Cricetulus griseus: one gene and its partner. The protein of the gene in region 1 interacts with the protein of each later gene in a pairwise test. Links are inferred from orthologs where the notes say so. Each region holds a gene or a part of one and is shown on either strand. Other genes may lie near its edges.

The links.
Region 2: the proteins of Fchsd2 (region 1) and Abcf3 interact in binary tests that used the Homo sapiens proteins (3 or more experiments, as listed by UniProt). The two-hybrid records come from large-scale screens. The link is inferred for Cricetulus griseus from reciprocal best matches to the Homo sapiens genes FCHSD2 and ABCF3.

The regions. Positions count from the first base shown.
Region 1 is NC_048596.1:98,229,829-98,246,388, reverse strand, and holds the end of Fchsd2 (F-BAR and double SH3 domains protein 2), read left to right. Parts: intron 1-1,420; coding exon 1,421-1,552; intron 1,553-7,310; coding exon 7,311-7,394; intron 7,395-7,515; coding exon 7,516-7,693; intron 7,694-8,100; coding exon 8,101-8,321; intron 8,322-9,359; coding exon 9,360-9,489; intron 9,490-9,579; coding exon 9,580-9,662; intron 9,663-11,496; coding exon 11,497-11,580; 3' UTR 11,581-12,339; coding exon of another isoform or gene 12,340-12,354; 3' UTR 12,355-13,441; downstream 13,442-16,560. UniProt on the Homo sapiens protein: Adapter protein that plays a role in endocytosis via clathrin-coated pits. Contributes to the internalization of cell surface receptors, such as integrin ITGB1 and transferrin receptor.
Region 2 is NC_048597.1:68,077,551-68,094,110, forward strand, and holds Abcf3 (ATP-binding cassette sub-family F member 3), read right to left. Parts: upstream 13,549-16,560; 5' UTR 13,464-13,548; coding exon 13,391-13,463; intron 13,168-13,390; coding exon 13,020-13,167; intron 12,924-13,019; coding exon 12,844-12,923; intron 12,250-12,843; coding exon 12,203-12,249; intron 11,978-12,202; coding exon 11,880-11,977; intron 11,783-11,879; coding exon 11,660-11,782; intron 11,533-11,659; coding exon 11,266-11,532; intron 10,681-11,265; coding exon of another isoform or gene 10,656-10,680; coding exon 10,575-10,655; intron 10,488-10,574; coding exon 10,428-10,487; intron 10,330-10,427; coding exon 10,273-10,329; intron 10,155-10,272; coding exon 10,132-10,154; intron 10,021-10,131; coding exon 9,965-10,020; intron 9,861-9,964; coding exon 9,660-9,860; intron 9,567-9,659; coding exon 9,490-9,566; intron 3,636-9,489; coding exon 3,591-3,635; intron 3,514-3,590; coding exon 3,381-3,513; intron 2,587-3,380; coding exon 2,498-2,586; intron 2,400-2,497; coding exon 2,308-2,399; intron 2,124-2,307; coding exon 1,991-2,123; and 6 more.

The DNA of each region.
Region 1 (16,560 bases):
TCTGCCTCTGTCTCTGCCTCCCAAGTGCTGGGATTATTCAAGGCATGTGCCACCAACACCCAGCTGTGGTGGGTTTTAGTTGGTTATTTTTTTATTGTCTTATGTTTGTTTGGGGGGTTGTTTTGTTTGGTTGGTTGTTACAGGGGTTCATGTAGCCCAAACTGGCCTACACTCACTGTATAGCAAAGGATAATCTCCTGCCTTTGTCTCCCAAGTGCTGAGATTATAGGCATGTGCTACCAAGTGTCACCCTGTAGCCTAGACTGGCATCACATTCAAAGCAGTCCTGACTCAGCCTCCTGAATACCAATATTACAGACATGATCCAGCATGTGTGGCTTTGTTGGGGGAGTGAATGAATTTGTTTGTTTGGTTTGAGTCAGGGTCTCTTGTAGCTCATGCTGGCCTCAAACTTGCTATGTGACCTTGAGTTTATGATCCTCTTGCTTCTGTCTCCTGAGTGTTGAAATTGCAAGCATGCATCACCATACACCTGTATTACAGAGTGCAGAGGATAGAACCCATGTCTAAATGCATACTAGACAATTACTCTTATAAACTGAGCTGCATCTCCAACCCCTTCATTGTGATTCTGATAGTGTCTTTCAGAAAAGAGTACTTTATCGTGTTTAATTCTGCTATTGGTCATGGCTTAAACCCTGTGTTGGGCACTATATTTTCTAAAAAATAATGTGAATTTGCATTTCTGCCTGTCATAGTTATAAGACTGTTTCTTCTGTTCATTGGTAACATGTAGAAGTCTTTGTTTCCTCATGTTAGCATTTAAGATGTTAAGAGGGCTTTGTTAGCTAGCATTTAACAGAAAAAAATTGAAGGGATACTGATAAATTACTTTTTAAAATACTTGAAAAAGTTTGTGACAGGGTTTCATTTAGTCCAGAACCCATACCTAGCTAAAGCCTGCCTTTAATCCTAGCCTCCACTTCCCAAATGCTAGAACTATACCTGTGTACCACTGAGATATTTTACTTTATTTATTGTTGTTTGTACATGCATGTGTATATATGTGTGTGTGCATACAAATGTACCATGGTGTGCATGTGGAGGTCAGAGGACAATACTTGGGAGTTGGTTCTTTACTTCCACCGTGGGATCTGCTGATAGAACTCAGGTCGTCAAGGTTTGCATGGCAAGTACTTTTGCAAAACCAGAAGTTTCTCAGCCTGACAGTTTACTTTTATGTGTGTGTGTAACTGCAAGTGGCCTTAAACTATGTGGATTTTAAACATTCTGTGGACTTCATAGTATGTAAAAATGCAACTGAGGACAGTCATTTCTGTGTGTAGTTGAATTGATGAGTTAATATTTTGAAACAATCAAATTTCAAGTGTTTCTTTTCCTGTTTTCTACCATTTTCATGAAATAAATGAAGTAGCCAATGGCTTCTAATTTTTCCTAGCTTAATACAGATGCTGAAAGAGAAGAAGAAGAGTTTGAAGACAACATGGATGTTTTCGATGACAGCAGCTCCAGCCCTTCTGGCACTTTAAGGAATTACCCACTTACCTGCAAAGTTGTTTATTCCTATAAGGTTTGTATCTCTGCCATATATTGGTGATAGTAAATTATGACAACTCTGAGAATTCATGATCCTCTGCTTACATTGTGCTGGGTGGCATATAGTTGCCATCTGTTGATAGCAACAGGACATGGTAGTGAAATGTTGGGACTCTGCCATTGACTTTTCTGCGTAAAACACTGTCTCTAGCTGGATGGTGGTGGCACCTGCCTTTAATCCCAGTACTCAGAGACAGGGGCAGGTGGATCTCTTAAGTTCAAGGCCAGCCTGGTCTACAGAGTGAGTTCCAGGACTGTCAGAGCTATGCAAAGAAACCCTGTCTCAAAAAACCACTGTCTCTGCTGCTCTGGGCTACCCAACCATACACTGGGTTTCTGCAAGACCCAGTGCTTTGTCTTAGGGGTTTCTTGGTTTGTTTGTATGTTTTTTTTGTTGTTGTTGTTGTTTATTTTCCTGTATCATAGGAACAGTATCTACTTTGAAGACTAAGTAACACTTCCATAGCAAAGCACTGAGCATGTACCTGGCATCTCATAAACTCTCAGTGGCTAGAGAGTTCATGCCCCAGGTTGGCATAGACCTTCCATTAGGATGCCCCCCAAGATTGAGACCAAAAGAAAAATGTCTTATAAAGTGATTGTAGGAAAAAATCCAGCCCAGTAGCCAGTGGCTGAAGTTCAGACTCCAGGAGCACTCAATTCCTTCCCCCTGAACATCTTTGGTACTGCTCACTCCTTCTGCCTAGAACTCTGTTTCCTCAAGTCTCAGCTGCCTACTTCTCTCCCTTGGAGCCCTGCTCAAAAAGCACCTTCCTTGCAGGAGAGATGGCTCAGCAGTTAGAAGTTGCCCCTACAGAGGACACAAGTTCAGTTCCCAGCATTTACATAGAGCAGTTCACAACCACCTGTAAGTCCAACTCAAGGCTTCTGGTCTCCAAGGGCAGCTACACTTATACAGATAATTAAAATAAAATAAATTTTTTAATCAAAGCTAACCTGAGCTACACAGAGAGTTCCAGGCCAATCTGAGTCAAAAAAAAAAAGAACAAAAAATAAAGGTAAAGAAAGAAATAGGGGAAATAAGGAAAGAAATAGCACAGTAGATTCATTGCCATCACCATATCCTATTATCAAGTGCTGTTTACTCTGCATAACTGTATGTGCCATACTTCTGTATGTCTGGCAACACAGGCTTGTTCATGCAGTAACTGCCACAAGAATGAGTAACGTGTTGCACTATAGTATCATGATGGCTACAACATGGGTGACAAAGTTTTCATCTCCATTATAATTTTATTTTTGAGATGGGGTCTCAGTCTATAGTCTATGTAGAAAATACCTTCACACTTGGGGCAATTCCCCTGCCTCCACCTCCCAAGTGCTAGGACTACAGACAAATACTACCATGCCTGACTTTTATTGTAATCTTACAGGACCATTACATATGTTGGGTTGTCCATTGTTGATCATAACCTCATGAAGCATATAATTGAACATGTGTGACCAGCTAAACTTTATCTTACCTATGTTCCTGTTTCTTTGTATGGCTCCTCACTGAAGATCCACGGAAACAGAAACTTTGTGCCTTATCTGTGTGTGTTCATCACCTGTGACAATGCCTGGGCATAGTAAATAATTGTAGAATGGGTAAATTAATGATACAAGGATGGCATGAACAAATGAATCCTCTGACCCCACTGTGATAAAACACAGTAGAAGAGGATAATGCCAAAGATGATGAGAGAGTATGGAGAAAATTTTCCAGCTGTTGTCCACTGATTCCCAGCTCAAACCCATGTGCTTAATGTTGACTACATATACTACTCAATACCAAGAATTCCTGGGCTTTTTGAGTTTGTCACATTCATTAAATTCAAACACATAATACTTCTTGTTTCCTTCTTGTTATGATAATCTTCTGAAATTTGAAGTCATCTTCTGAGATATTTAGAAAGGTCTTCCAAGGTATAAAGCTAAAGCTTCAAGTATTTCTCTCTTTTTTTTGCAATTTTTTTTATTTGAATTAGAAACAAGATTGTTTTACATGTCACTCCCAGTTCCCTCTCCCTCCCCTCCTCCCCTACCATTCCCCCCCCCAACTAAAACCTACCTATCACATATCCTTTCTGCTCCCCCTGGATGGTGAGGCCTCCATAGGGTGTCATCAGAGTCTATCATATCCTTTGGGATAGGGCCTAGGCCCACCCCCGTGTGTCTTTGCTCAGGGAGTATTCCTCTATGTGGAATGGGCTCCCAAAGTCCACACCTATGCTAGGGATAAGTACTGATCTACTACAGGAGGTTCAAGTATTTCTTGGTGTTACTTCTTTTTGTTCTATTTCCTTGAAAGTTCCAGAAATAAGATTTGTGATACTTAATGGAAAGTCCTAAGCCCCCACCCAGCTAATTTCAGACACTCACATTCTTCCCCATCTTTTCTTTCTGCTGACATATCTGGTCTTTTCCTTATGGTAAACCAGAGTAGGGAAATCTGTCTAAGGATCAGAAGTTTGGCTCAGTAGTAGAGTGTTTCACTCTCATGCAAGGCTCTGGGTTCAAATCTCCAACCCTTGGCCCTATGCTTGATTCCCAGAATCCCCAGGATAGAAAAAGAAAACTGATTCCCAAAGGGTGCAGACATACATGTAGGCAAAACTCACATAAAATTTGTTAAAAAGAACTGGGTGTGATGGTGCACACCTTTAGTGCTAGCACTCTGAAGGCAGAGGCAAGCAGGTCTTTGTTACAGGCCAACCAGAGCTACGTAGTGAGACCCTATCTCAAAAACAAACAAACCTTGTTATAAATGTCAAATACAAAGGAAGAATACCAAGTTGCATGTGTGTCTCCAATATCTCTATACACATTCTTCAGCCTTTCAACAAGCGTGGATAAGCGTGACTTTTAAAACCAGGAAAGCAAAATACAGGAAATTTAAAAATAGGTGGGAATGGATTTCTGACTTACTGAATATTCAGACTTAAAGGACACAGGATTGAGATTGTATATTTAGTAGCCATTTATTAATTACTTGCTATCTGTAGTTGGGATGAGAGAAGAAACAGCCCACTTTAGGTCATTTTGGTAGGAAACCCACAGGGATGAACAACTAGCTGTAGTGCCATGCATGGAAGTCAGTGTCTGAGAGATGCAAAGGTCTCACCAAAGTAAAAGGGAAGAAGCAAGCAGCTCATGGTAGCTGTCCTGTGAAAACATATGCACTGCACCACAAATCACAAGTAATAGGAAGAACTACTCTCTATTTACTTATTCTTAATTCAGTAACCCTATCAGGGAAATATGTGACTACCTCCATGTACCAACAGTGCTTTTTTTTTCTAGTTTCTGGAATGTGGCACTGACCAAAAACCTCTATGCCCTTAAGGGACTTTATATTCTAGTTGGGGTGGGGTGGGGTGGAGTGGGAAGAAACCTAAAGACCAAAGACATCTTTTTTTTTTTAAGAAAAATCAATTTTATTTTTTATGTATATTAGTGTTTTTGCCTGCATGTGTGACTGTATACCACATTTGTGCCTTGTGCCCACAGAGGCCAGAAGAGGGTCCACTGGAACTGGATTTACAAACAATTGGGAGCTGCCATGTGGATGCTGCAAATTAAACCTGGGTTCTCTGCAAGAGCAGCTAGTTCTCTAACAGCTGAGCCATCTCTCCAGCCCCTCAGTGACATCTTAGGGTCATTTGCCCATAGAAATAGACTGAAGCTGAACTTATACTCAGCAGTCTACGGTGGTGGTGCACACCTTTAATCCCAGCACTTGGGAGGCAGAAGCACACAGGTCTCTGAGTTCAAGACTAGCCTGTTCTACAAAGTGAGTTCCAGGACAACCTGGGCTACACAGAGAAACCCTGTCTTGGCAAAAACAAACAAAGAAACAAACAGAAAACAAAAAGATGGAGGAGAGCTGTCAGACAGAACAAAGGGAAGAAACAGAAGCAAGGAAAAGCACAGTGTGCTCAGAGAGCAGGAATGAGTATGCTGGCTCAAGGCTTTGAGAAGTTCACAGGGCCCACTCATGGTAGATCTTACACACTTTACTCTAGTGCTTGATTCTGTTGGCCTACTGCTGTGAAGCTGGACAATCCACATGGACCTCCATAATTGGTCACAGGACAACAGCATGTTGTACTCTGTCCCCTCCTGCCTTGTTTTACACACATTCAAGTCTGGTTGTATTGATATTAAGTCTTGCCATGTACTTAGGAAAATGACTTCATTACAAAGGTGCCTTTTGCTAGTGGTTTTGTTTGGTTGTATTTAGGTTTTTGTTCCTTTGAAACAGGGTGTCACTTTGTAGCTCAGGCTGACCTGGAACTCCTCTTGTCTCAACCTGGGATTATAGGCATGTGTCACTCTGCCTGGCACACAATGTAGTTTCAGAGTAACAAAAAATTCCACAGAAAAAATATTAAGAGAAAGAGTAGAGGTTTTCTTCATATTTTGAAGTCAGAAATAATCTACTTAAAATCTGTCATTGGAGCTGGTGGTAGCCATTGATCCCCACACTTAGGAGGTAGAGGCAGGGGATCTTTTCCAGGACAGCTGGGGCCACTCAGAGAAACCTTGTCTCAAAAAAAAAAAAAAAAAAAAAAAAAAAAAAAAAAAAACTGTCGTTCTAGTATTCTGAATAGGTTGTTCATCTTCAGACCTGTTTCTATGTCAGGAAGCTATGCCATTGTCCATAATCTGGGTTTTGATGGGATAGGAAATGGGTCTTAGGAAGTGACTCACTTTCAACAACAGTTGTGGTACAACTCAGTAAGTGGATACAAGAGGATCAGAAATTCAAGGTCTTCAAGGTCATCCTTAGCTTCATAGCAAAATTGTAGGTCAGCCTGGATTACATGAGAGGCTAAATCCCCACTCCCAAGAGAAGAAAATATGACTCACTTTATTATTTTCTATTTGTATAATTTGGAACTATTCTATACTTGAGACTGAGATCTGAATCATGATAAAGCCTTGTGTGATAGTGGGACTTGGGGAAAGTGTTGAAGGCTTTTTACTAGAGAACTAGAAGACACATGTCACATGACAGACAAGACTCTTCAGGAAGCCTTGGTAGAGGCTCTCTCTGTGGAGTTCCCTCTGGAGTATCTTGAATTTCCTCCAGGGTCTGTGTCTCAAAAGCAGACCATGGTGGTTGCCAGTTGAGACAGTAAAGCACTTCAGCTAGTGCAGAAACATTCATATGGATCAGCCCCAGTCTCCACACTCAGTCATTGGCTTGCTTACTACTTCCAGTGATTCCAGAGGAGCCCCAGGCGATGCCCAAGCACTGCAATCCATGTACATAGTGTCTGCGTTTCCACTGCATGCACTTCCATGATAGCCTCTGGTGGAATTTCATTCAAGTGCCTTCTCTGTTACTTATGCCTCCCAGGTCATCTTGGTTCTGTGTTTACTCTTGCCACATTGACCACCATTCTTAGAGAATGGTTTGGTTGACATTTGGAATAAATGGAGGCATTATGCTGAATAAGCAAGCTGGAGCCAACCTCCAGGCCCTCTGCTTCCAGCATTGCCCTCTGCTCACTGAACCTGATTACCTCCTGAGGATCCAGTTTCTGTTGCAGTTTTGTTTAATTTTCCAAAGTAAAACTTCACCTCATTATGATAGTTTTACAACACTAAAATTTCATTTCTCAGAATCATCTCAATATTTTGATCCCTGGCTTTTGTTATGACCAGCTCACATCTGCTCTTTATCTAACCTTTTTGATTTTGTCCATGGCCATCCTACATTGCAGGCTTCTCAACCAGATGAGTTGACCATTGAGGAACATGAGGTGTTAGAAGTGATTGAAGATGGAGATATGGAAGACTGGGTAAAGGTATATTCCTTTGCTCATATCACCCCTTCTTGTGATGTTTTAGGCATTTATTTTGGTTCTTGGTCTATTCCATCCAAATTGTGTCTACAAACTTGTTTTTTTCCCTTGTCTTTTAACCCAGGCTCGAAATAAAGTTGGACAAGTGGGTTATGTTCCAGAAAAGTACCTACAATTTCCCACTTCAAACAGCCTACTGAGCATGCTGCAGTCTTTGGCTGCTTTGGACAGTCGGTCACACACATCCAGCAATTCCACAGAAGCAGAACTCATTTCAGGCAGCCTCAATGGAGATGCTAGCGGTAAAGACTAAAATAAGACACTTAGTCTGGTCACAGTTGTGACCTAAACTAGTACCTGGAAGTTACTAAAGCCTTCAGTAGGTTTAAAAGCACTTTATGTCCTATGTCTTCCTATATTTGATAGCACTAGTCCTGTTTAGTAGAAGCTTACAGTTACTTTCAGTGAGTAAAATCTTAAAACTTAATCTTGTCTTGTATGATGCTCAGTAGTTGTCACGGAGCAAAAGAGAGGCTGTGAAATCAGTCCAGGTGGCTAGACATGGTGTGTGTACACCTGTTATTCTAGTAACTGAGAGTGTGTTGCAAGTTTGAGGCCAGCCTGGGCTATAGAGAAGACCTTGTCTTAAAGTCTAGGGCAAAGCAGTACATTTGTATGTTCTTACAGTTCATCTTTCTCTTGCTTCCAGTCTGTTTTGTGAAAGCACTTTATGATTATGAGGGCCAGACAGATGATGAGTTGTCCTTTCCTGAGGGAGCAATTATCCGTATCGTGAACAAAGAAAACCAGGATGACGATGGCTTCTGGGAAGGGGAGTTCAATGGGCGAATTGGCGTTTTCCCATCGGTGCTAGTGGAAGAACTCTCAGCCTCAGAGAATGGAGACACTCCTGGGACAAGAGAGATCCAGGTATGTGAGAGGGAGAAAGAAAGATAAACCTCTCCTTCATTCTGTTCCTTAATAGCCTGATGTCTGCACAACTGAATTTGAAAAACTAGAGGCTTGTTAGGACTTTGTAGAAAATTACCATCTTACATTCCATTCTCTTTCCCAAATTGTTTTCTCTGAATTCATTAAAATACTAAATTTCATATGACATTTAGAAAATGATTTTGCTGCCAGGCAGTGGTGGCACACGCCTTTAATCCCAGAACCCAGGAGGCAGAGGCAGGCGGATCTCTATGAGTTCGAAGCCAGCCTGGTCTACAGAGTGAGTTCTAGGACAGACTCCAAAGCCACAGAGAAACCCTGTCTTGAAAAACAAAACAAACAAACAAACCAACAAACAAAACAAAACCGATGATTTTGCTGGAGAGAAAGAAGCCAGGGAGGAAATGTGTTGTCTCCAGCTAGCTTCCGTAGTATGGCCCTTAGCTGGCCCTTCTACTTCATGAGACCCCTCTCTCTCCCAGGTTCTACCAGAGCTCTAAGGGGCTCAGTTTCCTTCACAACAGCTAAGTGTTATTTTACAGGAAATTGTCAGTTTGATTTGTCCTCTTTAGAGATCTGTTCCAGCAGGCCTGGCAGATAGAAGGGTAAGGCATGTGACCATGACTGCTTAGTCTGACATGTAGAAAACCTAGGGAAGTCAGTCAGAAACTCAACCAATGATTTTTATCTTCACACACAGACACCATCTGTCCCCCATTTGTTCTTCACAAGTTTAACTGAATTGCCTAATGGAAGAACCCCAGAGAATGGTTTGACTTGGCAACTGTTTAACATAAACTAGAATCAATGGAATAATGAAATCTGAGAGGGAAGTGTTAAGTGCAATACAAAGTTGAAGCTTCAGAGTTTATTGTATGCCCATTTGCTTCTATGAGGCTGACAAGTATTAACAATTATAACTTAGCTTCAGAGAAAGGGAAGGCATACTGAGCAGTGAAGCAGCCAAGCTCTTCTTCCTGAGGAGAGCATCTAGTAACTGTGCCTCCTTTATTACAGATCTCTCCATCACCCAAGCTGCACACATCCCTGCCTCCACTGCCGCTGTATGACCAGCCTCCCAGCAGCCCGTATCCCAGTCCAGATAAGAGGTGCTCCCAGTTCTTCCCCCGGTCTCCTTCAGCCAATGGTAAGCATCCTGAGCACATGCCCACAGCACTCACGTCTACACTAGTATCTTTACTGTTCAGTTATCAACCTCTTGGGTTCTCTCCCTCAGAAAACAGCCTTCATGCTGAATCACCAGGGTTCTCACAAGCATCAAGGCAGACTCTCGACACCTCATATGGCAAGCTGCGGCCTGTAAGTCTCCTATTTTAAAGGGTTGTAGAGTGCATAGTTCTTCCAAATTGAAAGTGAGAAATTCACACACACACACACCACCCCCATGGTCCCTGTTGTTACCAATCTGCCATGCAATAGTTTGGAGAAGTAAAAGCTATTGGAAAGAGGCTATAAAATAAGCTGGATGTAGTGGTGCATGCCTTTAATCCCAGCACTCAGGAGGCAAAGTCAGGTGGATCTTTGTTAGTTCTAGGATAGTCTGATGTATATAGCAAATACCAGGCCAGATGGCTTAGCAGTTAAGAGCACTCACCTCTACTGCAGAGGGCCTGAGTTTGGTTCCCAGCACCAACATACATGGTGGCTCACAACTATCTGAAACTCCAGTTCCAGAAAGTCCAGTGCCCTTTTCCAGCCTTCTCAGTTACCAGGGAGGCACATGGTACAAATATATGCATTTAAGCAAACACTCAGACACATAAAATAAAAATCATTTTTTCTTGAAAGGAAGGCTATAAAATAATGGATCTAGTCTACATTGGAACATTACTCACTGAGCCAGGGGCGATCAAAGAGGGTAGCCATGCAGTGCTTAAATACAAACATAACACAATTGTGAAGTGAAACAATTTCTTACCATACATTTATTAAGAACCCATTTTTCAACCGAGCTGTAGTGGTGCACACCTTTTGTCCAAGTAGAGAGGCAGAAGCAGGTGAATCTCTGAGTTTGGGGCCAACCTGGTCTACAGATCAAGTTCCAAGACAGCCAAGGTTCCATACCAACAGCTCCCTCATTCATGTCTTTCTCCTGAACTTTGGCTTGTGGGATCACAGCTTAGATGCACCAGACCCACAAACTCAGCAAAATGGAGTTAAATCTCTTCTCTTCTGGACATGTTCTCTCTCCATCTTGCCTGTGTAGGTGAGTGGAAGTCACTCCCTCCAAGTCTTGGAATCATTCCTGCTGCCTTATGGGTCCCAGTCTCCTATCCCTCAACACAGACACTTACCAGAGTAAACCAGCTGGGTTTACTCTCAGAACCTTCTGATGCTCTGTACTGTTCAGGTTGACATCAGCACTCATCCAGATGACCAGGATATGTCCTACATCATCTTCAAAGTATACATGCCTACCTACAGTCTCTTCTCAAGCTGTTGAGTCATGTTTTCCCATCCAGATCTGGCACTTCTTAAAACTAACCAAAACCTCTGTCTACATATAAAACCCAAGTTTCTTGTTTCTTTTCTTTCTTCAACTATTTTCAGTGTTGGGATTGAACCCAGGGCCTTGAGCCTGCTAAAACACTCTTCCACTAGGCTACATTCCCAACCCCATGTTTTTTGGTTTGGTATGAGACAAAATCTCATGGTATGCCCAGACTGACCTCCATCTTTCTGCAATTCTCCTGCCTCTACTTCCTGCATGCTAAGATTACAAGCATGCACCACCATGCTTGGCTATCTAGGTTTCTTACTGTAAAGCCCTTTACTACTTGCCCCAGCCCATCTTCCCAGCCTCCCTACCTGTGGCTATCCTCAGAGACATAGTGAGCAGTTCCACTCTCTACACTGTGTCTTCTTTTTGCTACCTCCAGGCCTTTGCTTTGGAGAGGGGTTTTAGGGCTATCGAAGCTTGTGTGCCTTAGGACATCCAGCCTAACAAGCAGTCTGATGTTACATTTCATGCAGAACAGTGCCTGCTTTTCAGGGTAGGTAGCACATGGAAAGCTGGGAGCATGTCCCAGACCCCCGGCTGTCACTGTCTCTAAAGAGGGGCATTAGAGCTTTCCATGTGGCGGGTTCTGAGTCAGGAAGCTGACTGACAATCCTATAACTGTCTCCCGCTCAGGTTCGAGCGGCACCCCCACCACCCACACAGAACCACCGACGGCCAGCTGAGAAAATGGAGGATGTGGAGATCACACTGGTGTGACAGTGGGTTTATTTTCCGTTATTGCTACAATCAAGGCCGGGCTTGGAGTTTGGCCAGTCGTTTTTAGGCACCTTTGCATGATGATGACTCTGGAACAGAGCAAAACTAAGGAGGATTCTATGTGACTGGTTGGCCTGATTGTGCCTTTTTTTGTTGTCATTTTCTATGTCATCTCTTCTACCATAGCACAAACCATAGCGGGTCCTAGAAGCAGATGGGAGCAGCTCTCATGCCTTATGGTGGCCCATTTTTATATGAGACTCAAGGCCAGGCCCAGAATTACTGATCGTGTGCGCTTGTACAGTATATTACTGTGGTCACAAGGCTGTGGCAAAGATCTCATGTTTCTTAAGTGGATTTTGCTCTTCTGATTAAGTATTAATCAGATTATGTTCCCTATATAAGGAAGCAAGAAGGATCCAGGAGAGGCTGGCTCCTCCCTGAGCTTCATTCCCATACTGAAGATGCAACCTTACTGGGAAGAAAGTGGACTGACTGCCTAAGCTTAGCGCCAATTGCATTAATGCACATCTCTTCCACAACTAACAGATTAAAATAACAGTGTCCTTTGTATTAATATTTATGCCATTCATTTAGTATTAGTGGGCTAACCTGAAGGGGCTGAGGCCACGTCTTGCCCATTACCTAGACTAGTAGAGGGAGGTTATGGCAGAAGCAGAAGTGGAGCTTCCAGATCTGAAATGAGCCACTTTAATGTTCTTTTTGTCTTTTGGGTGTTTTCCCTCTTGGTTTTTACAGTGTATGCCCTTCTGACCTTTGAACCCAAGTGTCTGGCTGCATTGAGGACACAGGCCTACACTGGGCAGCTCCTCTACTGGGAAGGCCCTTGTATTATTTTATCTCCAAGCCAGAGTACTGGCCCAGATATCAGGTTGTGATTAATGCAGAGCAGCTGTCACCTTCAGCAAGTGCAGCTTCAGGTCCTGCTGCCCTGACATTTGTCTGGGGTGAAGAACCTGTGGGCCCTGGAGGAAACCTGCTTTCTGTGGAACAGATAAAGGACTGCACACCTACACAGGTGAAACCAAGGAGACCAGACCTTCAGGTGGTGGGAGAGCCATGTGCCGTTGCCTATGGCACAGCAGCAGGCCTGAAGGGCTGCCCACACTGGACTGTAGGTCTTCTTGACCTAGGGAACAAAGTAATGTTTGCCAATTCTCTTTACCTTGGTTGGGGAATGAAATTCACAGATTTAAAGGTTGTACAATGTTTTGAAATTTCCATCTCTCCTGAGAATCTCTAAAAACTTGAAATGCTCACATGTCCCCGTGGGATTTTTGACTGATACCAGAGCTGAAGGGGTTGTCAGTCATTGACCACTTTAGCAATGATGCTCTGATGAATCTTCTCCATGAATTTGGATTTTTGTTTTTTGCATTTCTTTATCTGTTGATCTATTTGAGGTCTTTTTATGTTTATCAAACTTATTCTTAAGTTTAAAAAGTTAAAAGGGTGTTTTAAGATTTTTCAAATTTGCTGATCTTTAAAGTGCTTATAATAGAGCAATTCCTGCCACCCAGTCTCTTATTCTCTTCAGCTAACCAAATTGTGCTTGATTTGAGTTTCCCATAACCTCAGAGTTATTTGAACTCTTTTGTTATATTTTAAAATATTTTTTGGAAGAGCTGCTAATTTTATTTTAAGGAACAAAGTTGTAAAAAAATATGCCTCCTTTTTAAAAAGTAATCCTTCTCTCCAAGCTGCATAACCCGGCATCACCGTGCACAGGTCAGGGCTCAGAGGAAGCCTCCGTGCAGATGCGCTTTCTTTACAGTGGCTGTAAAAAGTTTGTATTTATTATGTATAAAATGTTGAATAATAAAAAATGAAATTAAGTTTTCCAAGTGTCCTAATAAAAAAATAATGGTTGATTAATCAGGCTTTGAGAAAGAGTGGAAAGGGGAAAATGCTTCTTACAAAAACACTACTGGGCCCTGCTTAAACTACTTCCCCTGTGCAGAGAGCAGGAAGGGAGTCCACCCAGGCAACAAGATCCTGATGCTGTTCTTTTTTAGCAAGAGGAAAAAAACAGGTAATATATTTGAGGCCAGGACTACTAGCCATGCTGGTGATCTAGTTACAAGATGAGCTCCTGTGGCTTACAAACAACCACAAGCCAAGGACTGAGAACCCAGCCTGGGTGTGGAGGAGCTCACAAGTTACATATATGATACGTATCATATGTAAGTGTGCTTGTGCCACAGCACATATTTGGGGATCAGGACAGTTTTTGAGAGATGGCTTTCTGAGCTCTTTGCCCAAACAGGTCTCCCGTTTTTGTTATGCTGTGTACTCCTGGACCACCCATCTTATAGAAGCTAGGTCACTGTGTGCTGCCTTTCTTCCCTGTGGGTCCTGGGAATTGAACTCAGATAGTCAGGCGTGTGCAACAGGAGCTCCTACTCACTGAGCCATCTCACCAGTCACATTGTGTCATTCAATTGTTTGGCTATGTAATAACCTAATCATTCCTTTTGTGAAGAGCGTTTAAGTTGTATCCAGCCACTTGCTCCTAAGAAATTGAAGCTACTATCACTGTGTATACTTCTTTATAAATTTGTTCCATGTAAATATTGGGCAAATTCCTAAATGTAGATTTTGACAGAAAGGGTATATATTTACATTTGTTAGATTTTTTTTTTTTTTTGCCAAATTGGCCTCCAAAAGAATTGCATCTATTTATTTGCATTTCCACCACCAGCATGTGGAACAACATGGATTTGGAAGTCAGGTATGGGTCATTAAATCCTGGCTGAGCCACTTGGGGCAGCCATAAAGACTGACCCTGTGTCCTACAGCTGAGAAGCCTAGATCCCGGAAGGATACAAAGTATGCAACACAGAGAGGCACACAAACACTGCCTACACTACCATCTCTCAACCTTCAGTGTCTTCAGGGCGATGGGTCCTCTTCCATTCCCTTGCCACACAGTAACCCACAAGAACAAGGTTTGAAGTGCTTTAAGTCTGGAAAAGACTGTAAGGACATATTTTCTGCAGTGAAAACAGCTCACTTTCAAGTCTGACTTTAGTCTTGGAGATCTGGTCTTCATCTTAGGTCAGAGTTCACCTAGTTGTCCTATCCCAGTGCCATCCATGTTGACTTCCTTTGTCACAGGAACTGATCAAGCCGCCAAACCATAGACTCACTGTTGATTACCTGGGCCCTGCCTCTCTGAGCCCAGGTTCATATGTCAGAGTCACAGTAGGAGGCTGTTATCTGGCTTTAGCCCTGCCCACTGCCTAATGGGACATCTTTCCATCCTCCCCTCCCAAGCTATTACCCCACCTTTAAAAAGGATGCAATGAGCTGGGTGTTAGTGGTGCACGCTTTTAATCCCAACACTCAGGAGGCAGAGGCAAGCAGCTCTCTTTGAGTTTGAGACCAGCCTGATCTATATATCTATTTCGAGGATAGCCAAGGCCATACAAAGAAACACTGTCTCATAAGACAAAAACGGGGCTGGAGAGATAGCTCAATGGTGAAGAGCACTGGCTGCTCTTCCAGAGGTCCTGAGTTCAGTTCCCAGAAACCACATGGTGGCTCGCAACCACCTGTAATGAAATCTGGTACTCTCTTGTGGCCTGAAATTATACATGCAAACAGAACACTGTATTTATAATAAGTAAAATCTTTTTTAAAAAAATGCAATGAAGGTGACTTCAGTGGGCTTATCCAGCTTCCTGCTAGATCAGTTAAATTATTCTAGATGCAGCGAAAGGGGAAGGAAGAAAAGTAAGGAAGGAAATAAATTCAGGCCTGGACTCATCCCCAGAGAGACAATTATTATGTTCAGTATTATGATACCACTCCTGGGCTGCACCAGTCCCAGCCACAGCTCTAGGATGTGGTTCTAATTACTACCCAACTCCCTCTTGACTAGCCTCTGACAATATCTAGCTGACTAAATCTTCTGCATTTATCGTGAGTTGGTGTGTATATGTATGTGTCACTTTTATGTCAGAAAACGGAGAATTGAAATTTTCCTGAAATCCTGCAACATGACATAACCAGTTTGTTTCCCTCCTGGACTCTTGCTGGGTTTGCTTTGTTAAAGCAGGAGGAGCCAATGAGAACACCAGAGCGTCTTGTCCCTGGACTATTTTCTTTTGGACCCAGTGGCCAAGAAAAAACATTGGACTTCTCCATGTGTTTTCCTGAGTGCTATTCAGGAAACGTGTTTTTAAAAGCCCCCTGAATGGGGCTGGAGAGATGGCTCAGTGCTTAAGAACACTGACTGTTCTTCCAGAGGTCCTGAATTCATTTCCCAGCAAACCACATGGTGGCTCACAACCACCTTGAATGAGATTTGGTGCCCTCTGCTAGGCATGCAGGCAGAAGACTGTATACATAATAAATAAAATCTTTAAAAAAAAAAAAAAAAAGTTCCCTGAAAGGAACCTGTGAGTAAGTGTCACAGGCTTGTGAGCCAAACACACCAGTAAGGGGCAGGGTGAACTGGGTGAAGAGCTGTGGATAATTCCTGCCATGATCTCAGTTCAGCCCTCAACTGTAACTTGGGAGTGAGAATATAAACTGCCTCAGATCCAGGAGAACTAAATAAGGTAATGTGCAGATGAACTGAAGATAGTGACTAGTGGATATACTTCCAGTAGACACGGTACCCAGAGTATGTCTGAATCTTGCCTGGTGTCAAGACTCCAGAGGCTTACATCTGTGGGAGAGTCTTAAGAACAGGCTTGGGCCAGGACTGGGGTAGCAGGAGCTCTACACCAGGACTTGTTTCTTATCCCTGTGGTGTCAGGATCAGTGAGGTTCTAGGCAGTTCAGGCAGCAATCCTCACACCTGTTGATCAGCCCGAGGAAAGTTCCATAGAGGAGTACACACAGCCTGGAAGCCACTGTGGCTTGCTTGAAATTCACAGAGAGGAATGGGAGCAACAGCTAAACTGGTTTCCACAAGACTAGGACAGTCCCTCCACTGGACCTGAGTCCAGT
Region 2 (16,560 bases), on another chromosome or scaffold:
TTGTCATACAAAGGTTCATATGTTGAAGCTTTACCCCAGTGCACAACATTCACTGCTATGGAATTCAGGATCATGTACATTCTGGGTGGGGAGGATCTAGCTGAAGGGAGTAGGTCCTTGGAACACACTCCAGGAGTCTGAGATCCACGCCCTGAGCTACTGTATTAGCACAGCCACCCACTGTGCTCTGTCCCACCACAGGTACATCCATGAGTAACACGAGTGCCCATGGGCTGAAGCCTCTAAAACCACGAGGCAAAAGAAGCCTTTCCTTGTTTTAGGGTTTTCTGTAAGGAACTTTGTCACAACATAAGTTTCTCACATTCTCCCTTACTCCACAGGTTCTCTTCCCAAACTACCTAGATTACAACATTCAGCACAACTTGGTGGGCTGACCCATGTCTACAATTTCCAGTAGGCTAAGACAGTTCCTCTGTTGACTTCATTTTAATGTCTTCAACATACCGACTGACTATAGCATCTAAGTCCTTGAAACTAACGAACGAACAAGCCACATTCCTGTTAAAACACTCCTCTTCCCTCCTTTATAAAGAGATGAGTCTCAAAGGTCAGGCTGGTCTCTTAAATGGATCCAATGAGCCTCCAGGGTGCCTGGGACTACAGGCACATGCTACTGTACATGTCTTCCCCTCTTAAAAGAGACTGCTTTGTTTGAAAAGAATGAAGTGTCCTATTTCTTTCAGTTAGACAATTCCCTACTTCCTAAGCCGCTTCTTGGTTAGGGGGAAAAAACAAAACAAAACAAAACAAAACAAAACAAAAAACACAGACATGAAATCACCAATGCAAACTGGGAACAACAATAGCTTCTCTTGAGTTCTGAAGGTCTGGAAGGCTGGGCCACAGCCCCAGGAGAGAGCAGTCAGTGATCCATGTATAAGGCCAGATTCCAGAATTAGTTCAAACTCCCAAGCAAAGCAGGGGTTGAGACAGCAGAGCCCAAGATGCTCTCAGCTGAGGCTATGCCTAGACCAGAGCATGAGCACTAGTGATTCCAGAACTGTTTTCCATTCCTCCAGCTCAAGCCTACCCAAGAGCAGACAGATAACATCTCCCAACAAGAGGAAGGCTCACACCGCTGTTGCTCTGTGTGATTGACATGTACTCCACAATGGAAAACACCAATCAGAGCGCCCAGAACCCACAGCACAAAAACATGGCAGGCCCTGCCCACAAAGGAGCAGAGATGAGGCAAGAGAGATACAGGAGGATATTTAATTTACATAGCAGCCACGTGGGGCCCTGTTGAGCTGGGCAGGGGGTATGTATGTATAGGCCCAGATGGCACCCCCAACCTTTTCCATCAGGACTGTCTTCGCAGGCCTTGGACATGTCTCCCCACAATGTGCAGAGGATGCTCCAGTTGAAAGGAAAAGAGAAGTCTGGGAAATAAGGCTGTCCCCAAGTAGGGAAGTCCTAAGTCTGGAGTTGGTTGCCTACATGGTAGTTCTGGGGTCTTGTGAGACCAGTCCATGTCCTAGGCACAGTCCTCATTCAGCTGGAGGCTCTAGAGGAAGCCCTCCCGACGGAACTGTTCTTGGAGGAGGGCACGGTACTGGTCAAATCCTCCCTCAACCCGGGTCACAGTGCCTTTCTCACACACCCACAGCTCCTGGCACACCAGCCGGATGAAGCGCTCATCATGGGATACCAGAATTACGCCTCCCTGAAAGACAGACCAGAAGTGCTCGAGGGAATAGATACTGAGGTATGCTGAGGCACACGGAAGAACAGTCAGGCCAGACATGCTCACCCTGAAGTTGTTGAGGGCTTGGCCCAAAGCCTCAATTGTCTCCATGTCCAAGTGGTTTGTGGGCTCATCTAGAATGTAGAAGTTGGGGCTGGAAGGGAGAACACAGAAGTTACAAGATGGGAGAAAATGAATTCCTATGGCACAAAGATCAAAGTGTCATTTTGTACTGGCAAGAAGGGGAAATGAGAAACAAGAACCCAAGAAAATAAGCCTCACCAAGGCATGGTCATCTGAGCAAAGGCTACCCGGCTCTTCTGGCCCCCAGATAAGCTCGCAACCGGGCGCATGGCCAGTTCTCCAGAGATGCCATACCGGCCCAACTGGTGTCGATATTCCTCTTCAGGTCGCCCTGGAAAAGGCCCCCACATCAGATGGGCTCTTGGCCCAATGCCTTTGCTACTCCCTAGGTTCTCCTCCTCAGTACCTATGTTTTTATACCTAAACTTAGGCAAGTTCCTAATAATGACCCAAGACGGGCCTAGATGCAAGGATCAGATAAAACACTCTTGCTGCAAACCCTATCCCTAACATACCAGGAAACTTTCGAGCCAAGAGTTCCACAGCACTGACATTCAGGTCTAGCTGTTCCACGTGGTGCTGGCTAAAATAGCCTATCTTCAGATTCCTGGAGGCAGAATGAGAACAGAAGGCACTGCTGTGGAGTACCATAGGTAGGTCAATGTGGATGAGAGCACAGGCATTTCATGGGGGGAGATCCCTTACCGGTGGGCATGCCTGATACCTCGAACAGGAGCCAGGTCCCCCATGAGTAGCTTCAGCATAGTAGACTTCCCAGCCCCATTCTCCCCAACCTGTAATAAACAGGAGCATGTTTAATGACTTTACATGTGTGGGACACAGAAGGGAAGGAAGCAAGAGGGGCCCTGGGTAGTCCCAGTCTTACAACCAAAAACTCTAAGAACTATCACATGCAAAGCTACAAAGGGAACTGATACTTGAGTACTTGCCAAGGGACGAGGTTTACTGCTCCGGGAAACCACAAGTGGTGTATCCCTGTGTAGGGGTTCATGTCTGGGTATAGATGTGTGCATGTGGAGGCGCAAGGTAATGTCAGATGTCTTCCTCCATCTTTTCTAGAGCTCACAATTGTGCTAGCTGGCTAGCCATCTTGCTCTGATGATTTCCGTCTTTGCCCCTTGCACACAGGGATTATGAGGGGTGCAATGAGCACTCAACCATATGTGAGTTCTGGGGACTGAACTCTAGCCCTCACATATGTGCAGAAATCACTTTCTACTTGCTGAGCTCTTTCCCCAACCTTGACCTCCCTTCTGAGGAAAAGGAAATTTCCTAAAGCTAAGCTATAGAACAGCATATTTTAAATCCTGTCCTGTAATCTATGTTCTTTCTTTAATGTCTCATGAGTGACATGATTCAGAACCAAGAGCAGTAAGATAAATTACTGTTCTATATATTCACAAAATGCCACATGCTGGGTTTCTATCTCTGAGGTGGCCTGTGAGACTACAGAGGACAGCAACAGTGTTAAGTATGACTCTCTGTACTCTCTATTCTCAGGATTGGTCCAATCTGAGCTTGCTAAGGTAGACATCTCCCGGGACATAGAACAGAAGAGTGACCATACCACACAGATTCGAGACTCAAGGTCAGCAGAGACAGACAGACGACTGAAGATGACGTGTTTAGGATCATAGTAGAAATCCACCTCATCTAGCTGCAGAATTGGTGGTGAGAACTTCTCAAACCCATCAGGGAACCTGTGGAGGTGCAAGTATGGAGTGTGGAGGCAGCCAGAAACAGGGGTTCCCCCTCAGCTCCCCAGCTTAGCACTCACTTCATCACCACCTCGGATTCCTTGTCCACCGGCTTTAGCTCGGGTCTGAGAGGAGAGATGGAAAAATGATTATTTAGCAAGATGTGAAAGTGGGAAGGAGAACACTGGGGGTGGAAAGGTTTAAGCAGGGAAAGGAGACAGGAAGATGAGGGAAGGGTCAACAAAAACTAAGGATGTATGGAAAAGCGGCAAGGAAGCCTCATACTTTATAGGCTAATTAAAAAACAAAAAAGTTTAAACCGAAGTTCCCTGTTTGTGTGGCTACAGCTGCTCCAAGAAGTCACAGGTTATTAAAGAAAGTTCCAGTGCCAGGGCTCGTATAGCTCCCTACAAGTAGTTGGTCAGGAAGGCCTTTGAAGACCCAGAACAATACAGGCAATAGTTAGCGGCTCAGCAGAACAAGGTGGTCCGGACCCTATTATGTGTGCACATGCGCACACACACAGAGGTGCCAGTATAAAGACCACGATGACAGGAGTATAGAACTCCCTTATGCAGAAACACATGGCAAGACAGAAGCTGCTTCCAGAACAAAGAAAGCAAGACAACTGAGATGAAGCTGGCTAGCCCTCAGGGCTGGGAGGTGCTAAGCAGCCTGCTGGGTGTGAACTGCCACCAACAGTTTTCCTTAACCACGGAATTATGTGCTACACTACTGACTGGCCAAGCAAGCAAGGTGTGTCCATTGTCAAGGCCACTAAAGGACAACCAGCTGCTCTCTGATTGGAACCGAGGCCTGTTCCACAGGCGGAACTCGTGTCTGTGCTACAAACCAGATCAATACCTGTGGCCAGGGAGGTCACAAGCTCTAGTGTGGAAGCTACAACTATGTTAAATCGTCATCACTTGCCCATGAAAGTGCCTTCTAAATGATCAGGCAGCTTCGTTCTGAAAGTAGTAACTGCAGACTCAAAACTGGACAGAGTGCTGAGGACAAGCGACTGGTAAGTACCCAGACACAGACAGGATGTGACATTCCCTCAAGGGCTCAGGGACATGTTGGAAGACAGCATAGAAGGAATGAGAATGGAGGACAGGGTGGGGTTGTGTGGTGAAGTGGTGGGTGCTATGGGATAGTCTGCTGGGTGTGGCATGACTGTTAGGATGACCTGCCTGAGACTGGGCCTGTCAGTGTCCTGTCATGAGGTCCTACCGCTGGGGATTTATAGGCAGTTAGTGGTTGCTGGGGGAGGGGGTGAGATTTTCTGCAGGCGTGAAGCCACTAGTGAGGTGCCTTTGCTTCTGTAAATAACACCTCATCCACGCTCTTGTAAGCAAGCCAACAAAACTTAACTGGTTTGCCAAAAACCAAGAAGACATCAAAGCAGAGGGGGAACTGAGTTGGGAAGAAGAGATAGATGGGAGGGGGACAGAGAGCAATGCCAGATGGGTATGACCAAACTACATTATATCATGTATGAAAATATAACAAACCCATCTTATATAATTAACACACTAATAAAAGAAGTGAAACAATCAACTTTATGGTGTATGTGGTAAAACGCCCATAACCCTGCCACTTAGGAGGCTAAAGCCAACTTACATATTTTGTGCCATGTAGTGAGACCCCGACTCAAGAAAATGACAAAAATTAGCAAGAAAATCTGTTCTTCTTGCACAAGTAAATGCTTGGAGAAAACAGACTTGTATGTCCTTCACTTGGCTAATGCTACAATGTATTCTTCTAGATCACTATCTGGAAGAAAAAGAATCATCTTTCTTGCTGCTTAAAAACAAACTAACAAACTTGGGGCTGGAGAGATGGCTCAGTGGCTAAAATCACTGGCTGTTCTTTCAGTTCAGATCAATTACCAGCACCTACATGGCAGTTTACAACTGTCTATAACTTCCAGTTCCATGGGTCTGACACCCTCACACAGACACCCATGATGGCAAAACACCTAGGCACATAAAATTTTTAAAAATTAAAAAAATATAAGTTGGGTGGAGTAGTGCATGCTTTTGATCTTAGCACTTGGGAAGCAGAAGCAGGCAGATGTTGCTGAGTTCAAGCCTCACATGTTCTATATAGTGAGTTCCAGGCTAGCTAAGACTACATAGAGAGTATATGTAGTTTCAAACAAAAAAATAAAACAAAAACAAAAAAGTAAATATTTAAAAATATATAAATATAAAAATTTTAAATATTTAAATTTATTTTCTCATATGTATGGGTGTTTTACATGAATGTAAATGTGCTGAATGTATGCAGTGCCCATGAGGTCAGAAGAGGGTGTCTGTTTCTTTGGAACCAGAATTACAATAGTTGTGAACTGCCACGTGGGTGCTGAGAACCCCACGTGGGTGCTGAGAACCAACCCAGGTCTTCTGCAAGAGCAACAAGCTTTCTTACTGCTAAGACATCACTCCCACTCTAAAAAAAAAATTGTAATGATGTTTATTTGCCAGGCATGGTGACATACACTTTTAATTGTACTACTTGGGAGGCAGAGCAGATGGATTTCTGTGAGTTTGAGACCAGCCTGAACTATATAGGAATTCCAGACCGGCCCTGTCTGAGACCTGTGTGAGACTCTGTCTTAAAACACAAAACAAAAACCCAGAAAAAGTCTGGAGCCTCTTCCCCTCTTTCACCCTGAGTCCTGGGAATGAAATGAGGACTAACAGGTTTGCCACAGATACTGTCTCCCAGTCGAGCGGTTCCCCAATTTAAACAACAACCCCCAGCAAAACCCCACCTTTCAACAGCTTTTTAAAAACTTAGATTTGTGTTATTCCCTTATGTTGTACATGTGAGGCAAGGTCTCACCAGCTTGATTGAGCCAGCCTTGAACTTGAAGTCCTTGCTTCAGCCTTCACTCATTCTGATATTATGAGTCTGTGCCCTGCCCCAACCCCAGCCCCAGCTCCAGTCTGTCTTGGTAGCTTTTACCCTTAATATACAGTAATAAATGTTTCCATGTCAGAGCTGTTAAGCCTTATGAATTTACTCTCTCTCCCAGGATTTCTAGAAAGTCTCCTTCAAGATGAAACCCTCAATGAGCAATTTCATTAGTCATAGAACTGCTCATCAAAACCACAATGAGATGTTGCTTTTCATGTACCAGGGCAGCTGAGACTGCAAGCGTTAAGAGCAAGTGCTGGCAAAGACATGGGACAATGACAGTTCCCACACCCTAGAGGAGGCATATAAAATAATGCACCTGTTTTTAAAACAGTCTGGCAAGCCAAGAGTGGTGGAAGTGATTCCAGCTCATGGGAAGCAAATGCACCTGGAGTTCAAGGCTTGCCTGGGCTACAAAGTGAGAAACTGTCTCCAACTAAAAACAACAAGACTGGTCTGGACCTGAAACCACCTACAGGTCCCTTCTGCATCACATCCAACTATATTCACCAAGCCAGACTTTCCAATTCCTTCTCTAAGGTCTAGCCTCACCTCTCATCAAGGAAACTTCTCTTTGCAACAACAGAAAGAGACCATTACGGAACTACAACCAATCAAAATGTAGAGCTGTAGAACTGAGTCCCAATGGATACATCCACAAAGCACTCCAGCATCTAAGGCTCAGGGAACCTTTTGAAAGGGGAAAGATCCTAAGAGCCAGAGGAGCAGGGAGTTTGCTTCGAGATTGTTTCCTAGCAATGTCAGAAGTACACCCATAAAATCTCAACAATATGACTGCTCAAACATGAGCTGAACAAAAATGACGCCAACAGACATACCAGTGTGTGTGTGTGAGAGAGTTATTGTGAGTGTGAGTGAGTATAGGCCTAAACCCTATACCAAGAACTACAGGCAACCAAGGAGTGCCGACAGAAGGAGGAATAGTCTTCCCCAGGGAAGAGCACACCAGTTGGTATCCAATACCGAACGGTCAGCCCTGAAAACATACATACAGTAACATTATATTTAGGACATATAGTTATATTTAGGAATATATTCATATACATATGCACATGTAACAGCAATTAATGAAAAGTGAGGCTGAATTGGAAAAAGAGCAAGGAGGTGTATAAGGGAGGGTTTGGAGGGAGGAATGGGAAGGGAGAAATGATTTGATTATGATCTCTTTTTAAAAAAGAAAAAATCATGAAAAAAAAAGTAACAAAAAGAAGTCTGATATGTCTTATATTCATTTTTAGTGAGATTTGTATTAAGTATATCCAATATAAAATAACGTATAAACTTTTATTGAATTGGTCTGGAAGGGGGTCTAGGGATGCAACTCAGTCACTAGACTGCTTGCCCAGTGTGCACAGGTCTCAGATCCAATTTCCAGCACTACACAAACCAGGAATGGAGACATATGCCCATAATCTCAGCACCTGGGAGGTAGAGGTAGGAGGACCAGGAAGGAGTTCGAGGTCATCCTTGGCTATGTAAGACTTCAAGGCCACTTGGAAGACAGAGGCAGGTGGATGAATCTCTGTGAGTTCCAGGACAGCCTGGTCTACAAAGTGAGTTCCAGGACAGCCAGAATGGTTACACAGAGAAACCCTGTCTCAAAAACAAAAACAAACAAAAAAGTAAGGCTAGTTTGAGCTACAAAACTGTCTCAAAACAAACCTAGTTTGGCAGATCCTTAAAAAGTTAAACATTAGGACCAACTGTGTTGGCAAATGCTTTAATTCTAGCACCTGGGAGGCACAGACAGGAGGGATCCCTGTGAATTCCAGGCTAGCCTGGTCTACAAAGCAAGTTCATGGCCAGCCAGGGCTGCACAGTGAAACTCCATTTCAACAATAACATCATCATCATCATCATCATCATCATCATCATCATCAACAGCAAAACCCTCAAAAGTTAAATTACCATGTGAAACAGCAAATCCACTCTTAGATATGAACCTAAGTAACACAAATGTCTGCATAGGAATTTGAACACAGGGGGTTGGAAAGTCGGCTCAGTGGTTAAGAGCAACACTGTACTTGCAGAAACCAGGTTTGGTTTCCAGCACCCACATAGTCACTTAAATTCATCTGTTAACTTGTTCCAGGGACTCACCTCCCACTCTGGCACCTGACTAGACACACACACACACACACACACACACACACACACACACACACACACACACACACACACTGCCTTTACACACATGTAGGCAACACACATATAAGATAAAAAAAAAATTCTTTAAAGGAAAAAGCAAAAACTTGTACATAAATGTTCATCGCAGGCCAGCTGTGGTGGTTCATATTAGTAATCTCAGCACTCAGGAGGCCGAGGCAGGAGGACTGCTGTGAACTGGCGGTCAGTCTTACAGATTGAGACCTGGTCTCAATCCCCCACATCTCCTAGAAAGTTCATATAGCATTCATTATTCCTAAAAACATACAGGAATAACCTAAAGTTCATCACCTGACTCAATAAACAAAAGTATCAGAGTCATGAAATGGAGCATATGTCACCATGAAAGGAAACGAAGTGTTAACATTACAACATAGATGACCTTAGAAAACATGCTACTAGAATAATAAGCTAGACACAGGTGAGGACTAGGTGCTAGGTTTAATCTTCAGTACAGGGAGAAAAAAAGCTAGACAAACCAAATATATAGAGACAGACAATAAATCTGAATTTGTGGCTGCCTAGGCAAGGTTAGTAGAAAGTACTCTACTTCTATGTTGGAATAAAAGTTGGCTGCTAGCTGAAGGAAGGCCCAGAACGGAAAGATAAATAAAGGGCAGTTTATAAAATGAAAGGAAGAGCTGGGCATTGGTGGCGCATGCCTTTAATCCCAGCACTCGGGAGGTAGAGGCAGGCGGATCTCTGTGAGTTCGAGGCCAGCCTGATCTACAGAGCGAGTGCCAGGACAGGCTCCAAAGCTACACAGAGAAACCCTGTCTCGAAAAACAAAAACAAAAACCAACAACAACAAAAAAACGAGGGAAGAAATGAAGAGGAGTTGGTTCTGGACAAGGACTTTGTACTCACAGCTTCTCCAACATCTTGAGTTTACTCTGCACTTGAGAGGCTCTGTTGGCATTGTATCGAAAACGGTCTATGAAAACCTACAGGAGAAGCAGGCACTTGTCAAGCTCCCTCACTGCCACCAACTCTGATACCAATGGGATGGGACCTGTGTCCTGTCTCCCCTACCACACCTGGATGTGCTGGCGGTACTGCTGCTGGGCCTCATACTCTCGCTGTTGGTTGAGTAGTCGCTCCTGCTTGCTCTTGATAAAGGTTTCAAAGTCCCCTCGGTAACCATCTAGTCGTTGGCTATGCAGGTGGATGATGTCTGTGGCGATGGCATTCAGGAAGTTGCGGTCATGAGAGACAACTAGGATTGTGGAGGGCCACGTCTGAGGAATAACAGAATGGCAGGCTGTTTGGAAGGGTAACTGGCCCCCAGTGTCTTGGAGGCAAACTTTCTCTAGACCCACTGTAAAGCCTTCCCAAAACTCACCTGCAGGTAATTCTCCAACCACAGGATGGCCCTTACATCCAGCATGTTTGTGGGTTCTGGAGAGGAAGCAAGAAACACATACTTGGAATGAAGGGCTGGAGAACTAGAAAAAAGGATGTTAGCATCCTTGTCTAGCTCCAAAGTCAGGGTAGCTCATTCAAACTCACCATCTAACAGCAGAAGATCTGGCCTATGAAAAAGAATAAATACACAGCATGAGGCCATGACAAGAAACTTGTTATGATATCCCATGAGCCATTCCAGTCCATTGCATTCCAGTCACACATTCTCAGGATCAGGAGACTCACCTGGCAAACAGAGCCCGGGCTAAGGCCAATCTCATCCTCCAGCCACCAGAGAACTCCCTAATGATAACAGACTCCCGTTAGGGCTCGGTGTTCATCAGGACAAGCAGGGCCAGAGCCAGTAGTCTTCAAAGTCAAAAATGGCCAAGTTTACTCACCTCGTAGGCTGCTGCTGCATTTTAGGGGTAAAACCAAGCCCTGCGAGAATGACTGATGCTCTGTGAAGGGAAATTACAAGAATCCAATTGGAAGAGTTCAAATGAAGACAGCAAATAGACAGGAAAGGAAGTGGGAATTTTAAGTACCTGGCAGGTGCTTTATCAGCCTCAATCTCCTCCAGTTTGGTATAGATTTCTGCCAACTGTGCAGCTTCTGAGCCCTCTGCCCTGGGACGGAAAAAGACCCAACCAGCTTGTATAAAGACAGTCTAAGATGCAGTCTTGTACCCTCTAAGTTGAAAAGCAGGCCACTGGGAAGAATGAGGGCTTTACAGTTCCACAGGCCAAATTCCAAGCTCTGCTGCTCACTAGGGAGGCCACATGAATTATGGAGCTACTCTGCACAGTGTCTTAGTGTCCAGGTTTCTATTGCTGTGGGAAAACACCAAGACTAAAAGCAACTTGGGGAGGAAGGGTTTACTTTATCTTATAACTCTCAGGTCACACTAAAAGTCAGGGCAGGGACATGGAGGCAGCAGCTGAAGCAGAACCATGGAGGAACACTGCTTACTGGCTTGTTTCTCATGGTTTGCTCTGCCTGCTCTCTTATTTAACCCAGGACCACCAGCCCAGGGGTGCCACCACCCACAACTGAACTGGGTCCTCCCACATTAATTATCAATTAAGAAAATACACCACAGGCTTGATCAATCAATCTGATGAAGGCATTTTCTCATTTGAAGTACCTCTTCCCAAATAGCTCTAGCTTGGGTCAAGTTAACACTAGTAAACCAGGACAGACAGCTATTGCTTGTACCCTCTAGCCTGAAGCCTTCACCTGCCAGCAGCAATCTTGACACTGAGCTCCCGCTCCTGCCGTAGCAGGTCCTCCCGGACTGTGTCACTCTCCAGCACGCTCTGCAGAGCAGGGGTATCATCTCCAGCAACCTCCTGCTCCACATGCAGCAGAGAAATATGGGCTGGAACCCGCAGGCTCCGGGTGGCCAGCATCTTTAGCAACGTCGTCTTCCCCAGACCATTGCGTCCCACCAGTCCATAGCGTCGGCCCCAGGCCAGGTTCACATCTGCTCCAGCCAACAGTACCCTGAAGGGTGGTAGAAAGAGATGAAGAGTGGTCTAGAAACAGCTGCAGAGGAACTTTAGCACTGTTTTGGTCCCACTCGATAGCTCCAGATTCTCCTCTAATTAGAAAGATCATACCATTCCCTCACCTGTCACCAAAAGACACATCGAAGTTCTCAATTCGCACATCATAGGACTTGTTCTTGCCAGATGACTCTAAACGGCTCTCTTTTCTGCTGCCTGCCTGGCTAGCTGAGGCCTCCTCCAGGACTCTTTCAAATGGAGATAGGGGCAGTTTTTAGGGCTCCCGACAACCCTTCAATACCAGAACCTGCCCTGCTCCCTTCTGAGCCCTTTTCTTAAACTCACAGAGGGCTGCTGGTCTTCAGGGTTTCCTTCTCTGAACGCTTTTCCTGCTTTGCCTTCAGTCGAGCTTCAGCCTTCTCTAGTTTCTTCGCATTCACTGTCTGATTGAATTCCAAACACAACCAGTTTATACCAGGGTACAGATCCAAAAAAGGACTCCAGGGACTACTTCAAACAAACCCTCACAACCTACTCATGATGATACAGAATCAAAGGTTCAAGGAAAGACACATTAGAAATCTCCCCCAAAGATTTACCCACTGTTTAGACTGTCAGCTCTGTCACCCACCATAGACACACAGCCCCTTCCCCTCCCTGCTCCTCACCGAGGACTGTTCCCTCTTTAGCAGTCCTGGAAGTTTGGTGTCACAGTCTGTAAGTGATAAGAAAAGCAGTCACCTTCTCCATGAGGGAAGGGAAATGAAGACTTTGAGTGACTAACAAGAACCAAGAATAGAACTTTAAGACACTATTATGGCACTGGAATAGATGGTTATTAGCCTTGAAATAAAAAAGAAAAAGATCTCACATTTAAATACAGAGGCTGATGTACTCTTACAAGACAGTGCTGTTGGTTAAAATACAAAACTGGCAAAACCAAGTATGTTTAGCTCCAAGGCCTATACCTCCTACTATAGCCCACAGCTTGGAGAACCTTCCAACCCTACTCTTCATCACAAGAGTTTTTTTTTTTTTTTTTTCTTCTTCTTTTTCTTCTTTCTTCAAGACAGGGTTTCTCAGTGATACCCTGGCTGTCTTGAACTGGCTCTGTAGACCAGGCTGGCTTCTGCCTCTAGAATGCTGGGACTAAAGGCACTGCCCGGCTCATCACAAGTTTTTCTATTCACAAAATACCACAAGTTCCTACAAGCCTTGTTATAGAAGATGGAGGGCGTCCTGAGCTGCAAGAAACAGGTGGCTGGGGTGGAGGCAGAAGGCAGCTAGTTCAACATCCCCTCACTCTCACCGTAGCTTTCCATTATCTTTGACAACTGGATGGGGGCGTCCAGTAGCACCTGGCTGTTTCCCTGGTTCTGTGGCTCAGCCCTGCGTGGGTAGGGATAGAAAGCAGTCAGTTGGGAGAAAAGATTTGCAGCCTTCAGACCTTCCCACTAGTTTGTACTCCATTCCCTTGGCACCTACAGGCGTAGAGTGTTGTACATGCGCTGACAGACAGCCCTGATGCCCGCGTCATCTTTGCTGTCCCCGGACACTTCTTGCAATAGTTCCCCCACAGCTTCCACCAGGTCATCCACAGACTCGAAGTCCGCGCTGCCGCTATGCAAGACGCCTGGGCCGCGTACCGCAGAACAAGAAAGACACCGGGTAGGGCGGATATACAAGCAGTCTCAGTGTCTGATCAGCCCACTCGGGGCTCCAGACCCCACCGGCCCTCAAGATAAGAGGTCACGCAGAGGAGAGACCAGGTAGCAGTCTGCTGCACTGTCCACCCTCAGTCTTCCCCCGAGATCTCCACTTCGGCCTCCCCGGGCAGTTAATTCCGTTTCGCTCACCGGTCACGTAGTCGAAGACCTGCCCGTCAATTTCTGGGAACTCGCTCCGCAGGATATCGGCGCAAGTCGCCATGTTCACCCGGGGTCCGGTCTGCGCAGTCGTGATGAGATCTAGGCCTAGGACCGCCTTCTTGCCCTTCCCCCCTGGAATAGCACCCCCCCTTCCTCCCAGGGGCGCACGCGCAGTAATGACGTAAGAAAGTAGAAGCCTGCGTGGAGTCTAGAGGGCGTGGCTAGCGGAACTGCACGCAAGCGCCGCGAAGTCCGGCAGACACGGCGACCTCTGCGCCTGCGCAATTCATGTTTCACGACTGTATTCACCTGTACCGTTTTCTCTGCCTTCTGGAAAGGGGAGATGGAATCGAGGGGTGTGGAGGGGTGTGGCGGAGTCGCCCTACGTTTATCAGGGCGAGGAGCACAGAAGGTGCCGCGAGAGAGACCCCACCTAGAGACAGACTGTCGTTGAAGTGGGCCGCTTTGCTAGCGCGGAGCCTTACCCGCAGGCGGTGTCGCTGTGCGCCCACCCAAGCCTTTAGGCCACGGCGTTTTGCTGACTCACGCCAGCTCTCGAGTGCTTGGCTTTCTGCTCAGGACTGAGCAGACTCAGGACTGAGTCTGAGTTTCATTTCGTTCAGTTAGTTGAATCAGCTTAGTGATGCCTAGCCTTCCTGCCGCTTTGTTCTGTGCATGGTTGTTCAACCAAGTCATTGAGAAATAGGTTATTCTGTTCTTTCACCGCCAGGTCAACAAGAAGCCCTTTATAAAATTTTTATACTAGGTCTACAGACAAAGCAGGTTTTCTTACACCCTGAATCTTGGGGTCTGTAAAAGGACGCCCCCCCATCGATTTTGTCAAGTAGACGTTGTGGTAACACTACTGCTTTATTCTTAAAACAAAAATTCTTCCTAATACGCCCAAATTACACCCATATTAATTTTTAAGAGAACCTCCCTAGACAGTCCAAGCTAACCTAGAACTCCTGATCCTCCTGCCTGTCACCCAAGTGCTGGAATTAAAAGCGTGTGCCACTACACTGGACTGGCCACTCATCTTTTTTTTTTTTTTTTTTTTTTTTTTGATTTTTTCGAGACTGGGTTTCTCTGTGGCTTTGGAGGCTGTCCTAGAACTAGTTCTTGTAGACCAGGCTGGACTCGAACTCACAGAGATCTGCCTGCCTCTGCCTCCCGAGTGCTGGGATTAAAGGCAGGCGCCACCAACGCCCAGCCATTTTTTTTTTTTTTAAAGTGACAAGATTTATTAGAAAGGGCAGGGGGTGGGGAAAGAGAAAAGAGGTAAAGAGATACAGACGGAGACAGAAGAGAAGAGGGAGACAAGAAAAGCCCTGTCTGCCCACTCATCCATCTTTACCAAGCATTACTGCAATGGGGAGCCAGTCTTGGTGTCTAAAGTTTAGGAAAGCTATCTGTATGTCTGAGGATACAGCTTTGTTGGTGGAATGCCTGTCTACTATGCCTGAAACTTTGTGTTTGATCCACAGTACCCATAAAACTGGGCACAGTGGCATATGTTTGTAACCCCAACATCCAGGAGGCAGTGATAGGATCAAGAATTCAATGTCCTGGCACTCAGGAGGCAGAGAGAGGTGGATCTTTGTGAGTTCAAGGCCAGCACCGTCTATAGAGAGTTCCAAGACAAAGAAACCCTGTCTCAGAGAGAGAGAGAGAGAGAGAGAGAGAGAGAGAGAGAGAGAGAGGTAAGGTCACCCACAGCTACAAAGCCAGCAACTGAGCCTCTAAATCTAATCTAATAACCATTTCACAGTAAATACAGATAAGGGGCTGGAGAAGTGATTCAGTAAAGTGATAGGTATGCAAGCATAGGGATCTGAGTTTGATCCAAGACAAAGTCTCTAGTAAGAAATGTCGATATGGGGGCTGGAGAGATGGCTCAGTGGTTAAGAGCACTGGCTGCTCTGCCAGAGGACTTAAGTTCAATTCCCAGCAACCACATAGTGGCTCATGACCATCCATAATGTGATCTGGTGCCCTTGTCTGACCTGTGGGTAAAACACTGTGTTTATAATAAATACATAAATCTTTAAAATAATGTCACTGTGGTCTATTTTCAGTATAAGGTGTACTTAGTGCTCATCAATGAGTCACACATAAGCAGGAGGCACGGAGTCCTTCTTTCCCTAGCTAGCACCTTAGTTTTCCTCAGGGATGAGAAGTCAGTCAGCTACATAACTGAACCTATGTTATCAGGAAAATGGGGAGGGATCTCCAGTCCAGGAAGATGGAGGTTTGCGGTGGGGTTTTTTGATTTTTAGTTTTTCAGATCAGGGACTCCAAAAACCACTGTTTAGTGCCAAATCAGAGTGCCAGTCAGCCATGTTTGCCTCTTCTCCAGGCTGATGACAGATTCTTCAAGGTCAAAAAATAAATTGCTTTGCTTTGTTATCCTTATTATGAAGTGAGGAATACGTTTCTCACACACCTGTAATCTCGTGCTGGGCAGGCAGAGACAAGAAGATCCCTAGGGCTTAGAAGCTGTCAGCTGAGCCAAATCAGAGTTCTGGTTCAGTGAGATACTGACTTGAAAAATAAGGTGGAAGGCAATTGAGAAACACACTCCTAACTGACCTCTGAGCCTCTCCATGCACACACACACACCACACTAAAACCGAGAGGCTGGGAGAGAGGCTCAGAAGTAAAGAATACTTGCTGCTTTTTCAAAGGATAGTGTTTGTTTCCTAGAACCTACAGGACTGCTCACATTGCTCTGTAACCCCAGTTTCAGAGGACCCAATGCCCCCTCTTCTGGCATTGAAGAGTACTGCATGCATGTGATGCAGGCAAAATACTCATGGTCTTAAAACACAATTAGGGACTAGAGAAATGGCTCAGTAGTTAAGAGCACATACTGCTCCTTTTCTTTCTTTCTTTCTTTCTTTCTTTCTTTCTTTCTTTCTTTCTTTCTTTCTTTCTTTCTTCCTTCCTTCCTTCCTTCCTTCCTTCCTTCCTTCCTTCCTGGTTTTTTTGAGACAGGGTTTCTCTGTGTAGCTTTGGGGCCTATCCTGGCACTCGCTCTGGAGACCAGGCTGGCCTTGAACTCACAGAGATCTGCCTGCCTCTGCCTCCCAAGTGCTGGGATTAAAGGCGTGTGCCACCAACGCCCGACACAAATACAAATCTTACTTGATATATGC